Oryzias latipes: one gene and its partners. The protein of the gene in region 4 purifies or fractionates together with the protein of the main gene of each other region. This does not show direct contact. Links are inferred from orthologs where the notes say so. Each region holds a gene or a part of one and is shown on either strand. Other genes may lie near its edges.

Region 1 (2,293 bases), on a different chromosome or scaffold from region 4:
AAATGAAAAATGTAAATTTCCTCTTTGTATTGAATATTCAGTCGTTTTTAAAATGCTCAACTAAATTCAATATAAAAGCCTTTTTATCTAAAGTATGTTACCAAAAACATGTGACAATCCAAAATGCAACATTTTATTGTTTAACTAAGATTGTTTTTTGCATTGAATTTATTGATTTAGAAAATGCATGATCAAATTACACCCTGGGAACTGAATTCCACATGAACGATGGTGAAAATGGCCCAGCGGTTTAACAGAAGCGGGTCCAAAGATGCCAGAAGTTCTGGTGGGTGAAACCAGAGGTTTCAGGTAAAACGAGCCGTGCAGCGGCCCAGAGGAACCATCCGGAACCTTATTCAGAAGCAAAAACATGGCAATGACTCCATGGAAAGAACAGAACCTCCATCCCACCACGGGGTTCCAGGAGGTCGTGTGGGAACGACCCTGGAGGACGGAGCGGGTCAGCGTTCAGGCGACATGGGCGGAGCTTCAGGAGAGTAAATCAATCAGCAAAGGGTCAGCATTGGTACAAAACTTTATTCTCACAATATCAAAATCGACAGACGGGTTAAAAGGAAGGAAGAGTGGAAACGGATGTGAGAAGAGCTTCCTGCTGAGTCGTCCTTCAGGAGTTTATTCACAGCAGCGTTCTGAATGGTAGATAGCGAGTCATGTGACATATGGGGGGGGGGGGGGGTCACTGGAATCTTGCAGCAATAACTGTACAGAGACAACATAATATGCATTAAAGGAATTCATTAAAATCATAAAACTTTGCACAGCTGCGTATCTTTGAACAAAGAGAGAAGTTACGGTTTTCCAACTGAAACTAAAAGAAATGGTCTGAATAAAAAAAAGAGGAGCAGAGAGGCGGAGTCGGGCTGGAAGTTGTGTCTACAGAGCAGGACAGATGGAGGCCACATCCAGGCCGCTCCACAGGAGCCAGCAGGCCTCCGGACTGCTTTGAGTTCAGACGGACGCCGCTGTCGGGGAGCAGCAGGAGGCCGGAGGCGCCGGGGAGAACTGGAACTAGAATGGCGGCGCCTTATGGCTGCTGGCCTGGAGCTCTACAGGAAATAGTCGGCGACGGGCTTCTTGGAGGGGATGCCTCTGGTCTCCTGTGGCGCTGCTTCAAATATGATGAACTCCCGCTGTAGATGCTCATCCAGCTCCAAGATGGCCGCAACGTTTCCACACCTGAGTGCAAGGAGACACGGCGAGGTTAAACCAGCACAGACCCTCAAACCGCTAGGCGAGAAGGACGCCGTCTTCAGCACAAACAAGGTTTAAAGCGGATCTCAGAACTTTTCAGATCAGAAAACAAGATAAAAGCCCACAAAACATGTTTTATGAAAAGTATATAAATATTTCAAAATATGTATGTAAACAGACACGAATGTATAACATTAAAACATTTGCTCATTGAGGCTTTTCTATAAACACTAATGACTCTCTGAACTCAACATAAACCTATTTAGACAAAATCCTCAGGATGTCAATCTGAGCTAAAGTGCAGCAGGAGAGCTGACACAATAAAGCAGTGAGATGGTTAACAGCACACGGCGTTCCATGCTTTCTCCAACAGAGAAGCTCTAACTGAACAACCAGATCATTATGGTCTGTCTCTGCTGGAGGGCGTTTCCGTCTGGCCACTAGGTGGAGCTCTCCTTATAGCATTACACTTTATTCCAGAAGATTGGAGCAAAAAATGGAGCTTTAGACCACAAATGGTTACTTTCAAAAATGTTTCTGTAAAAGAGTTTGGAAAATTCCTGCCTGTGAGTCTATAAAGCTGCTCATTGAGTCAGTAATGTATGTTTGGGTCGTCCAAGAGTTAGCATTAGCCGTCCTATGGGAAATTCCATTATACGTTAGCATCAAGCTAGCAGACTTTGGCTTTACTGATGTTATACATTAGATCCCCGGAAAAAAATGAGCATAAAAGATCGATTTCTACTTTAATGGATCTATTATTGATCTACTAAGATTGGATCAATTCAGATCAATTAATCGATTTGATCAAAATCACCGTGCAAAAAAATGTATATACAGTTTTTTTTAAAAGTAAGAAAAGCAGGGAATGTAGGAGGAATTGACTATTATCCATTCTTCCACCATCCCCTGCTACAAGCCCCTCCCACTGGTTCCAGAGGGGCGGCGGCTTCTCCTGCCACAGTTGGGGGCAGCTGCTGCTCCTCACTGGGAGAGTGAATGGTTTCATGAGGCACACATGGAGGCGTGTGCTGCTCATTGATGCTGTTGTAGAGCTCTTCAAAATGAAGAAACGCCATCT
Region 2 (4,208 bases), on a different chromosome or scaffold from region 4:
ATAAATCTACGCAGCAGGTCGGTCCAAAGCTTCTATGGAGCAAAACACCATCTATGTATGACGTCAAACCAGAGCAGTAGTGACACACGATCGGAATGAACTGTTTACATGAACAACGATCGAATCCACAATCGGCATAACCCACCTATCTCGATCGGAAAGAAATTTTGATCCGAACAAGTCAGAGTATTACGAACGGCGTGTTTACATGACGCATTTTTCTTCCGATCAGGCGTTCTTTCCGATTACTTTTGTCCATGTAAATTCAGCTAGTGAATCCCTGTGATGTCATCCAGGTGTCAGTGAATCCCTGTGATGTCATCCAGGTGTCAGTGAATCCCTGTGATGTCATCCAGGTGTCAGTGAACCCCTGTGATGTCATCCAGGTGTCAGTGAACCCCTGTGATGTCATCCAGGTGTCAGTGAACCCCTGTGATGTCATCCAGGTGTCAGTGAACCCCTGTGATGTCATCCAGGTTTGTCAGTTTGTTTGGCACAGAGCAGACGGACAGCAGCGGTTTGTCAATAGGACATTTTATTTCACATGTCTGTTGTCTTCATTGAAATTACAGTAATATAGTAGAGATGACTGCTGGCTGCAGCCTTAACAGCTGAAACTCAGAGCTGTTCTACTGAAGCAAACTCTCCTACGTTTCCTTTAAACTGATCTGGCAACAGAAAGAAAGCACAGATGGATGAAGGTGGAGACGGGCGGGGATATAGTGAGCTCTAAAAAACAAAAACAGTTGTTGGAAAAGGATCAAAATATGGCACATTTGGTCCACGTCGGTACTTTTTTATTCTCCTGTTTTCAAACATGTCAGATGGAGAAGATGAAGGTTAACATGCGGCTGAAGCTCAGCTTTAGTGACATCACCGCTCTGTTGAATCTGCTCAATGCATCTTCTCCATTCAAAATGAGAGGGGTGGGGCAGGGGCGGGGCTTGGTGAATGACTTATGGGGGACAATAGGACATTCACAGGAAGTAGTCAGGAGTGCGTCTAGTCACATGAGGCTCGCCGCGGCGGGGGGCGGGGTCAAACTGCAGGCTGTAGAGAGAGGATGAAAGTAAAGGTGCGATTCAGAGACACGTTGGATGAAATGATGATTGGACTCTCTAGGAATGTTCCATCCAGAGACACCCGGGGGGGTGGGACTTACAAAGAGTACTTCAGGGTGTCGTCCAGTTCCATGATGGCTGCCTGGTTGCCGCAGCGATAGCAGTAGTTGGGGGCGCTGAAGATGGTCACCACGTTCTTGTCGTGACCCCAGTTGTAGCCCTGCAGACAGAGGGGTGGGGGTGCATGATCACAAACGGCCCATCCATCCTAACAGCCGGGGGTGTGTGTGTGTGTATGAGGAGTCTCACCTCCATGACCAGCTGATGGGCGCGGGACACCAGAGTTAGGCCGTTGGCGTGGTTGAAGGTTTCAGAAATGTCCTGTCCAAAAGTGTAGCCAGCACCTCTGGGAGAGATGCCCCACCCACCGCGGTCATCCGGGTCAGACCACAGCAGGTCGCACATGGGGCCCTGGGGGGTGGGGGGAGTCAGATTAACACCAACCTGTGCAGCTCTTACCTTCTGCTCTGCAGCAGAGGAGGACGCTGCTGTCGGGGCTGTCCCGCTCCGACCACGTGATCGCAAACCGGAGTTGATCGATCGGTTGCAGACTGGATTGAAATCAGACGTGTCTCCCGATCGGACATAACCCTAACCCGATTATACCATCATTTCAAGCTTATTATTCCAGATAAATACTCTACTAGAAGTCTGCATTTCATCAACGAATCACCACAATTTTTCACAGCTTCGAGTTCCGGGTCAATGACTCTTAATAAAATGTTTTCAACTGACGGCAAGTGTCACGTAAACAACGACCTACGAAAGGATTTTAAGAGAAAAACCATCAGGATTGAAAACGGCGCTGAGATTTTTTCCTGTTCCGATTAAAAATGTTCAACAATTCTGAGGATACTAAAGCTTCAGTCCCCAAACTTTCTGCCATGATTATCAGCAGTTTTGACTAGTTTATAGTTAACTATTCGTACTAGATAGCTGCAGGATTTACTTAATCGTAGAAGTGTTGAATGATAAAAGGAGGAGAATAAAAGAAAAAATGGATCTGTTCATTAATTTGTTTTTTTTTTTGTTTTTTTTTAAAGTACTTCACAAAAGTTTTGGATCAGGACTCTGTATCGGCACAAACTCCAAATCAAAGGATTGGAATGACGTAAGGCCCAAAACACTTGAGCGGGACGTCCAGTGAGGAGCGTGTACCTCATGCGGGACCTCCTGCAGGCGGTCCAGAGCTCGTATGTGGTCCAGAGTGTCTATGGAGGGAGACAGGCCGCCGTGGAGACAGAAAATCTGAAAGGACAGCAAAGGACAGTGTCTGTAGAGCTCCTGCTTCCATGGCCTGACGGTCTGGGTGTAGCGGCTCTCACCTGCCCGTCCACCAGCGCAGTGAGCGGCAGGTAGTCAAACAGGTCTGTGAAGTACTTCCAGACGTTGGCGTTGCCGTATTTCCGCAGACACTCGTCATAGAATCCGTAGACCTGTGTGATCTGACGGGACTCGTGGTTCCCTCGCAGTATAGTGATCCTCTCTGGGAATCGAACCTGCGCATGAAACCTCACATGAACACTGCCAGCTGCCAGCAGGTTCCACAGCATCACACATCGCACACCTCCGGAGAAACCGAGGAAAGACCTCTGCGATCTGGTTAACGAGACTAAAGTCCTCCAACGACAACCACAAAGCTGCACGCAGAGGCGGGACCTCTGACTCCGCCTTTACAGCAAACTTTGAGGAGGTGGGCGGAGTTACAGCCACTGAAAAGACCGACTTCAAGATTAATTTCCTTATTCAGGAGAAGTGTCTGCGGTCCAAAACGGACAACCATTAAGATTAAAAACAGGTAACCTTTAAGAACATTTCTTCTTAAAACAGCCGCCAACTCGCAGAGAAAACACAAACACACAGACACACACGGACACATAGAAACACGGAAACCTTGAAACGAACACAGAAACACAAACACACACGGAAACATAGAAACACACAGAAAGGAACACACAACACTGCCGCTGCCGCTCTGCCACACAAACACACCTCTTCCAACTGCAGGTACGGCCTCCCATATTACCATTTGGCAGAAACCTGACAGTTGTGCAGGTGTGACCACAGAAGACTGCTGACAACAATCAGATGCAGTCCCACCTCCTCAGGCGCTCCCACTCTCAGCAGGAAGGTCTGCTAACGAGGGTTACCTTTAACGTGACGAGCAGCGTGACCGTCTCCACAGAGTAGTAGCCCCTGTCCACGTAGTCTCCCATGAACAGGTAGTTGGTGTCTGGAGACTTCCCTCCGATCTTAAAGAGCTCCATCAGGTCATGGAACTGACCGTGAACGTCGCCGCACACGGTCACCGGGCATCGCACCTGAGGAGACCGTCATCATCAAGTCATGTTGCATTTATCCGTCATGTATTAAAATCCGCTACGTGAAAACAAAGTCTGACTAAACCGTGATCACATGTAGATGACACACGGAACAGCTCGTTAGCATAGCATGGTAGCATTTAGCATCATTGCAGGGTAGCATGTAGCATGGTAGCATTTAGCATCATAGCATGGTAGCATTTAGCATGGTAGCATTTATTATCATAGCACGGTAGCATTTAGTGTCATAGCACGGTAACATTTAGCGTCATAGCATGGTAGCATTTAGCATGGTAGCATTTAGTATCATAGCATGGTAGCATTTAGCATCATAGCATGGTAGCATTTAGTATCATAACATGGTAGCATTTAGTATCATAGCATGGTAGCATTTAGCATCATAGCATGGTAGCATTTAGTATCATAGCATGGTAGCATATAGCATGGTAGCATTTAGTATCATAGCATGGTAGCATTTAGTATCATAGCATGGTAGCATTTAGTATCATAGCATGGTAGCATTTAGTATCATAGCATGGTAGCATTTAGTATCATAGCATGGTAGCATTTAGTATCATAGCATGGTAGCATTTAGCATCATACCATGGTAGCATTTAGTATCATAGCATGGTAGCATTTAGCATTATAGCATGGTAGCATTTAGCATTATAGCATGGTAGCATTTAGTATCATAGCATGGTAGCATTTAGTATCATAGCATGGTAGCATATAGCATGGTAGCATTTAGTATCATAGCATGGTAGCA
Region 3 (3,738 bases), on a different chromosome or scaffold from region 4:
TATGCACAACAATAAAACAAAACGGTCTTGTCATAATTTTAGTATTCCACCTCAGGAGCTCCTCCTTAAATTCACTTACAAATTCTCACATCGGTATGTCCGCTCATGTGTGAAGTATGATTGTTGTATGTAATTCCAGTGTTGAATTAAATACCATGATGGCCACTAGGAGACGCTGTTTTGAAGAAAGCACTGATGACTCCAGGCTTGTAAAGCTTCTTAGATTCTTTAAATTCATACATTTACAACAAACTCCGGTTGACTCAATGCTTGTTATTCCATAACAAAAAACAAAGATACAAAAATGTAAAAGTTTTTTTCCATCAACCAAAACCTGTTAGTCTGCACTGCGCTTCTTCACCTCAGAGATCAGTCACTCCGACTCCAGATATCGTCTGCATCCACAACAAAACCAAATCCAAACAACTGAAAGTTGATCGTTCAGGTGTGTCCATACTGAAAGTAAATCCAAAACAAAAAGGCGTTGTCAGTTTTTCTGCAAACTCCAGCGATGGACTCGCCTTTTGTCTTCAGTCTGCTGTCGGCTCTCCAAGGCAGAGGTCCCCAAACGTTTTCAGGCCACGGATCAGTTTAATGTTGGACAATATTTTTACAGGCGTCAAATTATCAATTTTTTTATCTTTTTCAGTTTCCCTCAACTTTTGAGTGTAAAGTTGTATTCATTCTTTGTAAAATATCTGCAACTGTTTTCTGCTTCATCTGTGCAATAGATTTCATGTTGAAACCATTCAACATGAACAGATTTTCCCTTGACCACAACCGTCAAAGTGGAGCCTCGTCAGACTTTTGGGGTGCAACGGATTTAAAAAAAAAAAAACAGTCCCTTAAACTAGTATTTTCACACTATATTTGTAAACGTGAATCCCCTGTTTGAGCAATGTTAGACAGTTGCTGAATATTCTGCATTATTATTAACATTATGGTCTGTGGGAGCAACTGTCACAATAAATCCACATGTTGAGAAAAGACTCCTGTCTGTTAGATGCAGATATCTTTTATTTTGAAGTCAAGGGCTCTTCTGTTTCTTCACTGGATCTTTTTTGCCTAAACAAACTTTTCAAATAAGTTTATTTATTATTCTTTTTTTTTTTTGCTGGCTTGGGGGTCTCAATTTAGCCGCTTTAAGAAAGTGACGGATGGATTTTCAACATGTGACCGAGCGACTTGACGCGCGTCAAGACTGAGTTGGATGTGGTTGAGAGTCCAGTAGTTTTTCAATAAGTCAGATTCAGAATCAGATTGTAAATAAAAGGGGTAAAAAATGAAGTTTATGGGATGTTTTGCCTCAGTGGCCCGGTACCAATTGTTCCCAATAGCCTGGGATGGGGGAACACTGCACTGAAATACAACTTCATCATTTGGACCAGGGCTTTACATTATCTTGGCTAAAATATGAATTTGTCCCAGATTTTCTCTTGATGTTTGTTCTTTTGTGACAACATGGTGGTGCCGTTGAGTTTTGGCTTTGCATTGATGTCACACCTCCCTCTTTACCTGCACAGGTTCATGAATACCTGAGGAGCAAGCTGTGCTCGCTCTATGAGAACGACTGCATCTTCGACAAGTTTGAGTGCTGTTGGAACGGCAACGACAGGTACCAGCACAGCATAGAATGGTTTTGTATTTAGACCTGGATTGTTCTTGTTGAGATCTCACCTGCATTTGTTGTCACCCCCCCTTTTCCAGCGTGGTCATGACCGGCTCGTACAACAACTTCTTCCGGATGTTTGACCGCAGCCAGCGGCGGGATGTCATGCTGGAAGCATCCCGTGAAAACAGCAAGCCCATGCAGGTCCTAAAACCGCGGAAGGTCTGCGCCGGAGGCAAACGCAAGAAGGATGAAATCAGTGTGGATAGCTTGGACTTCAATAAAAAAATCCTGCACACTGCTTGGCACCCCCAGGACAACATCATCGCTGTGGCGACGACTAACAACCTCTACATATTCCAAGACAAAGTAAACTAAGACGAAGGCAGGTTTGTGAGAGATGAGGTGGAGAGATTCTCATCTTTACCACTGGCAGCCTCACCCAGGATGACCTGTGGGGGTGCAGACTCCCAGCATCCCTCTGTCACCTCCAGGTGACCAGACTTTGCCACTTTGTTTTGGATGTGGACAGAGGAAGACGCTCTGGCCCATCATCAGTCAGTCTGGGGGGTGTAGTCACATCTGCCTTGTTATTTAAGTGATGTGCCAATTTTTTTTTTTTTTTCTTCTCTTCAATGTTTTTGTTTTGTTCAGACAATTTGCTTCTCCACTGTGGGCAATAGTTTCATTTCTGACTACAGGCACGCTCATTTTTATACCTTCCCCTAAATGGTTCTGTAGTAAAACAAAGAAATAAACACTTTAGTGTGTCCCTTTATTGCCCTGTGCCATTGTGATGTTTATTTTTCTAAGGAAATGTGGAGTTTTTGACTCTATGCGAATACTGTTTTAGTCTGTTCCTTTGAGGATCCAGCAGTTAACAGTTGTGTCCTCCTTTTTTTTTTAAATTTCCTTTCACTTCCTGGTTGTTCCTACTCCACAGCATCACCTGACGGTTGATTTTAAATACAGTGAGTCCAGACTGGTCCACTGAGGTTCTCGTCCTGCTCACTGTTTCTGTGCCTCAGGCTTCGGGGTGGGCGACGTTCCCAAGCTCCACAAGAGATTTATTTTGTTTTGAGGTTGGCTCTGTCTTAAAATCATTGTGGTTTAGTTCTGATTTTGTTGTGTGTGTTCAACAATAGGCAGGTATGAGAGAGAGCCTATACAAAGATAACTATGATTGTCATATTTATATACAAAGAAAAGAGAATTTGACTAAGAGGCTTTCCGTCCCTCTTTGGGATATTAAGCTGACCTTAAACAGATCTTTTGTTTTGGGGGGGGGTTTGTCTTCCCATAGTGAACCATTTCTCTAAAGCAGCCCTTCTGAACAGGAACTTGGAATTTGACACTGGACTTTTATTGCTGCACCAACGGAAGTACTTGGATATTTGTGTTGAATGACTGCAACTTAAAGAGAAAACGTTATTTGAGGCATTAAGGCGTCTTCAGTGAGGATGAACTGCAGTCGCTGCTGCTTTGTGATGGCACTCGGTTCTCCAGAACACCACATTTACCTGTAAACTAGGGATATTGATGCCTCTGATAATGTGTAATTATAATTTTACTGACGGAAGAGGAATAAAAAAATAAAGGAACTACTTTTGCATCCTTTTGATTGTTTTGATTCCTCAGATCTAACCTATATTGGGTGATACTTCATTTACTTTGAGAATTAAGGGGAATTTGTTTATTTAATTCTATATCTAATGATGTAAGGTGAGCTGTTACCTATATTTCGTAAAGACTCCATCAGTATGAAAAAAGTGTTACGTAAGTACGCCCCCCCCCCCCCCCCTCCGATTGAGTATTTAACGAACGATGTTACGTCATCACCTAGCCGTGAGCAGGCGTGCCCTCGCTGCTGCTGCTGCTGCTGCTGCTGGTGGGAAAACAAACGGCAGCGGGACTTCAGATCGGCTGCTCCCTCCTTCTGCCGAGACCCGGACTAGAGCAGCGGACTCTTGTAGTGTCCACGTCCGGATGTATGCCGAACAGGGCACGAGCGCTTTGCACTGATCCGAGTCCTGAATGCAACCCACCCTGCTCAACACAAACCACCATGTCTGACGCTGCTAACACTGCCTCCACAGACAACAACGGCGGGGACTCGGGGCTAAACGGTA
Region 4 (4,143 bases):
AGAGTAGCGTCAAAAAAGATAAATGCTACAAAAAGGATTTTTTAAAATAAAGACGACATACACAAAAATTGTGTTGTTGTTTTGCTTTTGCATTTCTGTACTTAATTCCTTACACTTTATTTCATTTTGAAAATCTTTCATTTTCTTGACAGTGTCCAACAATATTACTCCAAATCAGCAGCAGTCTAGCAGGTGGCAACAATTGGTTCCCTTTTTCATTTACTAGTTTACAAGAAATACATAATTACAAGAAAAACAGATTAACTTGGTACATTACTAACTCTGAAAGAAAAATACAATTGCATAAAAAAACCCAAAACGTATCTTTTTTTTTTGGTAGTTTAATCACTCCATATATAGCCAGTTTATAGGATTTCATATATTTCTTGGACATAAGCCAGCAATAAACAAACAAACAAACAAACTATAAACCCACTTCAGACAAAAAGAGATAGTATTTACAAAACGGTATCTTACTTTGCCATGGTATCTGCCGACAAGTCTTCAGGATTTTTTACTTTGGTGTCACCTGCAGGTTTAAAGACGAGTTTCAGAATTTCTTGTTACGCTTACCAAACAAAAAAAAAAAAGCAAAGCATTGGTTCTAAATTTATATATAAACACATTTGTGTAGAGTAAAAAAAAAAAAAAAAGTTAAAATTCCTCACAATGTATTGCAGAGAATGAGAATGTTAGTCTTTCTGGAGAATATACTACAGGGTGGATAAAATTGTTAGTTAAAAATCACCTGAAAGGATTCCCAAGCTTTCTCATCTTACCGTGACAATCTCAGATTAGTTTTCTTTTTTTTTTTAAAGAGTAATGATTGGAAAACTTATTCCATCATTTTTGCAGAAAAATGTCAGTTCTACAGAAATTATTTTACATTTAAAAAATGGGAAAAAGTCATTTGTTCCAAAGCCTACAGAGTATTTTCCTTACCATGAGCTCGCAAGTCCATGGCAACCACCCTACAGGTAATCATGTTGGATATGACTGACTGTAGAGACATATACAGAGGTCATTTCAATCTGTATTCTGGGCAGTCTTGCAACACACATATTGTTATTATTACTCGTTATATTGGTGTACGATTACTGTTTAAGAATAGGGGATTATGCAGTGGTAATGATACCCACAGTAAACACTGCCCAAGAAAGTGCAGAATGGCCTCCTCCATGGAGCAGCAACAGCACAGGACCAAGTGAACCACTGCAGTAAATTCTGAAAATGTGTTGTGCGGTCAAGAAAACAAAACGCAAGGCTGTAAGCACTACATTAAAACGCTAAGCAAAACTAAAACCTAGACCAGGAGTCTGCAATGTGGCTCCGGAGCCTCATGTTGCACAAAAAAGATGCTGTTGCGTTGTTTAAAACCTTTTTAGGAGAACATTAGTTGCAATAGGATGACCCTGTTCGGCACAGGAAGTCTAATTTTGAAAGGAAGTCATACAAGCTTCTGTCAAAAGTAAGAAAGAAAAAGAAAAAATTTCACACTTTGAGAAAAAGCTACTCTCACTTTATATTTTTGCTCTATATTCAAGCCAAAAATAAAGTAGTATCAACTTTTCCTAAAGGGCAAAATAAGACTTTGTGATTCCAATGAGATTTTGATCAGCAAGAAACAGGCCCAAACGGCTCCTTTACTGCTTAAGGTTGCAGATCCCTGGCCTAGACGAAGAATTTGAAAAGCATTTGAATCTTAATTCCATGATATGCGTAAATCAAAACAACAAAAAATCGTCACGGCATTCTTGTGAAACAGAGATTTTGGGAAGGATATATCTTTGCCATTTTCATTTTCCACTTCAACATCCTCCATGGTTTCAAAGTACTGACTCCAAAGCAGTGGAGTAAAATCTTTCTTCCGGCCAGGTCTATAAAAAAATATAAATACAAATAAAAATGAGGGGGAAATCATTATGTACAATATACATACTATCTGTACCTCCAAACTGTGGTTTGACTCCATATTACCCATTAGTAAATTACTGTTTCTATTCTGCTGGCTGACACACAGCTGCCCCCTTTAGAGGCACGACTTATGCAGAAAACGAACCACTTTAACGAAGTTAATGAAAGAGTCATCTTCATAAGAATGTAATTACACTTTTGGATTAAATCAGTAAAACTGTATTGTAAACTAGATTTTGTTTATCCTTTGGTGGGCGTAACGGGGGTCTCCTGGATCAGAACATAACAAGTACGTATATATATTCTGATTTTTTTCTTAAAGAAAACGATAAGCTCTACACAGCATCAGCTAGACTTTGTTAACTCAAAGGAGTTATATGTATAAAAAAACCTCTGCAGCAGCTGCAGAAGGCGGGTCGTGCCTACTCTATAAGCGGTAACTAGGCTAGCCTAAATGCTAACTAAATATTGGTTTTCCTTCAGCTGTGTCTGGCTTTTCGGCGAGCTATTATTCAGACAAAAGTTCACAGTATGGCTTTGACAAGAGGTATGAAGAATAACACGCAAATGTAGATATAAAAAAACCCTTTAACGTTTTATGAACTGTTAGCTTCTCACCCCATCTTGATTTTAGAGCCAGACTGAAATCCACCAGGACCAGCCATTGGAGGTCTGGAGGCCAGCAGGTTTAAATGCAACTGTTTCTCCATGCTGTGAGGAAAGAGCGCTCTGTCAAGAGATGTCTAATATAGCCTTCCCTTTCTTTTGCTGCATAAGATAGTTTCTGACACTTGTACTGACGTTAACCAAACATTTGATGAATCGCTATAGCATACAGGCTAACGGCTTCTTTGTATTTTCCGTCTTTCTTCTTGTTCTGCGTAGTTTTGAGGTGGTTTTCTACTCATTTTTTGAAAGTGCTGCCACCTAGCGGTAAAAAAAGTACATTCATATCTCCAACGAATGAACAAGTAATCATCAAAGCTTTTTCTGTGCTTTATAAAATATTCATTTTTCTCAATGATTAAAATCGTGTCTTAAAAACAACAAGTTGTCGTCCATTAGACTGGTAATCGGCTGAAAAGTCTTTTCTCTTCTGCTCCCTCCCTTTTACACTGTAAGGCATGTTAATATTAAACGCTAGTCCCTCACTCATTACAGTGATGATGTGATGTGTCACAATTTGTTTATACGCATTTTCACAACATATTTAACAGTATTTTTTTTCTGAATCACAAAAATTGAACTTTTGTCTTTCCTTCTCTCACTCTTTACTGAGCTGATAATATTTAGGGATGTAACTATTAATCGATTTATACTCCTACAATCCAACCAGATCGATATGTTAAGGGAAGTTGTTAACTGAATCAAATAAAATCACCTGTAGCATCATAACATTGTTTCAAAATGAAATAATGCCATTTTAATCAACGTTGGAAAATGCAGAAATACAGTCCATCATTCCACTTTGAAATTAGGAAAGACATATGACCGTACAGTATGATAGAATGTTCTAATGAGGTTCTGTTTGTATTATTTTGATGTGGAGTAACAATAGTGGGCTGAACTTCAGGAAACTAAAATGTGAATGGATTTACCTTAAATTCTTGTTTACTTGTTTGTTTGTTCTTATATTTAATTTACACTTGATTATCTTGCAAGAAATACAAGGAATCTGGAAAACTTCACCTGCACTGTTTAGTATCCAGGTATTTATCACTCAGTCACACTGGTTAAGTTTTTTGTTAAAGATTCCCTGGATCCATTTTAGGCCATTGACTTAGATCAAATCGGACCGTTTAAAATTAACCAATATCGACTATGAATCACATCACCAACCACAAATTATTATTTGAATTGAATGATTGTAAAAATAAATTGTTCTTTTAACAAACCTTGTCTTGGACTGCATGTAAAGTAAATAAATGTGCAGAACGGCAGCTCTATCTGGAGAACATAAAGCTGCTTGGAACTCATTGAGCCATAAATCACCAAAAACTGCAAGATAGTTGAATTCTTTGTCTGTGTTTGCAATAAACACGTCAGTATGTTATTGTAGTGAAGTTATTACATTGATACCTTAGAATTTATAACATAGACCAAATTTTAAATGTGAAAAAAAGGTGTGGGGGTATACAGAAAGAAGTTTTCTTAGGAGATGTTACTTTTAAACTTTAGAAAGTGTCACGTGACATTACATAAAGGTGTTTGCCATTGACCCATATAAAC

The links. The genes of interacting proteins can lie anywhere in the genome.
Region 1: the proteins of ppme1 (region 4) and ppp4c purify together in Homo sapiens (affinity purification with mass spectrometry; 3 studies listed by BioGRID and IntAct, with this or other methods). This does not show direct contact. The link is inferred for Oryzias latipes from reciprocal best matches to the Homo sapiens genes PPME1 and PPP4C.
Region 2: the proteins of ppme1 (region 4) and ppp2cb purify together in Homo sapiens (affinity purification with mass spectrometry; 6 studies listed by BioGRID and IntAct, counting the BioPlex papers as one, with this or other methods). This does not show direct contact. The link is inferred for Oryzias latipes from reciprocal best matches to the Homo sapiens genes PPME1 and PPP2CB.
Region 3: the proteins of ppme1 (region 4) and serine/threonine-protein phosphatase 2A 55 kDa regulatory subunit B alpha isoform purify together in Homo sapiens (affinity purification with mass spectrometry; 3 studies listed by BioGRID and IntAct, with this or other methods). This does not show direct contact. The link is inferred for Oryzias latipes from reciprocal best matches to the Homo sapiens genes PPME1 and PPP2R2A.

Annotation. Positions count from the first base shown.
Region 1 is NC_019866.2:25,208,670-25,210,962, forward strand, and holds the end of ppp4c (serine/threonine-protein phosphatase 4 catalytic subunit), read right to left. Parts: intron 1,198-2,293; coding exon 1,068-1,197; 3' UTR 518-1,067; downstream 1-517. UniProt on the Homo sapiens protein: Protein phosphatase that is involved in many processes such as microtubule organization at centrosomes, maturation of spliceosomal snRNPs, apoptosis, DNA repair, tumor necrosis factor (TNF)-alpha signaling, activation of c-Jun N-terminal kinase MAPK8, regulation of histone acetylation, DNA damage checkpoint signaling, NF-kappa-B activation and cell migration.
Region 2 is NC_019867.2:193,803-198,010, reverse strand, and holds the end of ppp2cb (serine/threonine-protein phosphatase 2A catalytic subunit beta isoform), read right to left. Parts: intron 3,443-4,208; coding exon 3,272-3,442; intron 2,621-3,271; coding exon 2,447-2,620; intron 2,370-2,446; coding exon 2,280-2,369; intron 1,533-2,279; coding exon 1,371-1,532; intron 1,282-1,370; coding exon 1,163-1,281; intron 1,051-1,162; coding exon 978-1,050; 3' UTR 518-977; downstream 1-517.
Region 3 is NC_019870.2:24,063,032-24,066,769, reverse strand, and holds the end of serine/threonine-protein phosphatase 2A 55 kDa regulatory subunit B alpha isoform, read left to right. Parts: intron 1-1,523; coding exon 1,524-1,615; intron 1,616-1,707; coding exon 1,708-1,987; 3' UTR 1,988-3,221; downstream 3,222-3,738. Other genes in the region: BCL2/adenovirus E1B 19 kDa protein-interacting protein 3-like, read left to right, coding at 3,600-3,735. UniProt on the Homo sapiens protein: Substrate-recognition subunit of protein phosphatase 2A (PP2A) that plays a key role in cell cycle by controlling mitosis entry and exit. Involved in chromosome clustering during late mitosis by mediating dephosphorylation of MKI67.
Region 4 is NC_019872.2:16,425,282-16,429,424, reverse strand, and holds the start of ppme1 (protein phosphatase methylesterase 1), read right to left. Parts: upstream 2,808-4,143; 5' UTR 2,625-2,807; coding exon 2,533-2,624; intron 1,878-2,532; coding exon 1,784-1,877; intron 1,233-1,783; coding exon 1,140-1,232; intron 1,001-1,139; coding exon 943-1,000; intron 530-942; coding exon 478-529; intron 1-477. UniProt on the Homo sapiens protein: Demethylates proteins that have been reversibly carboxymethylated. Demethylates PPP2CB (in vitro) and PPP2CA. Binding to PPP2CA displaces the manganese ion and inactivates the enzyme.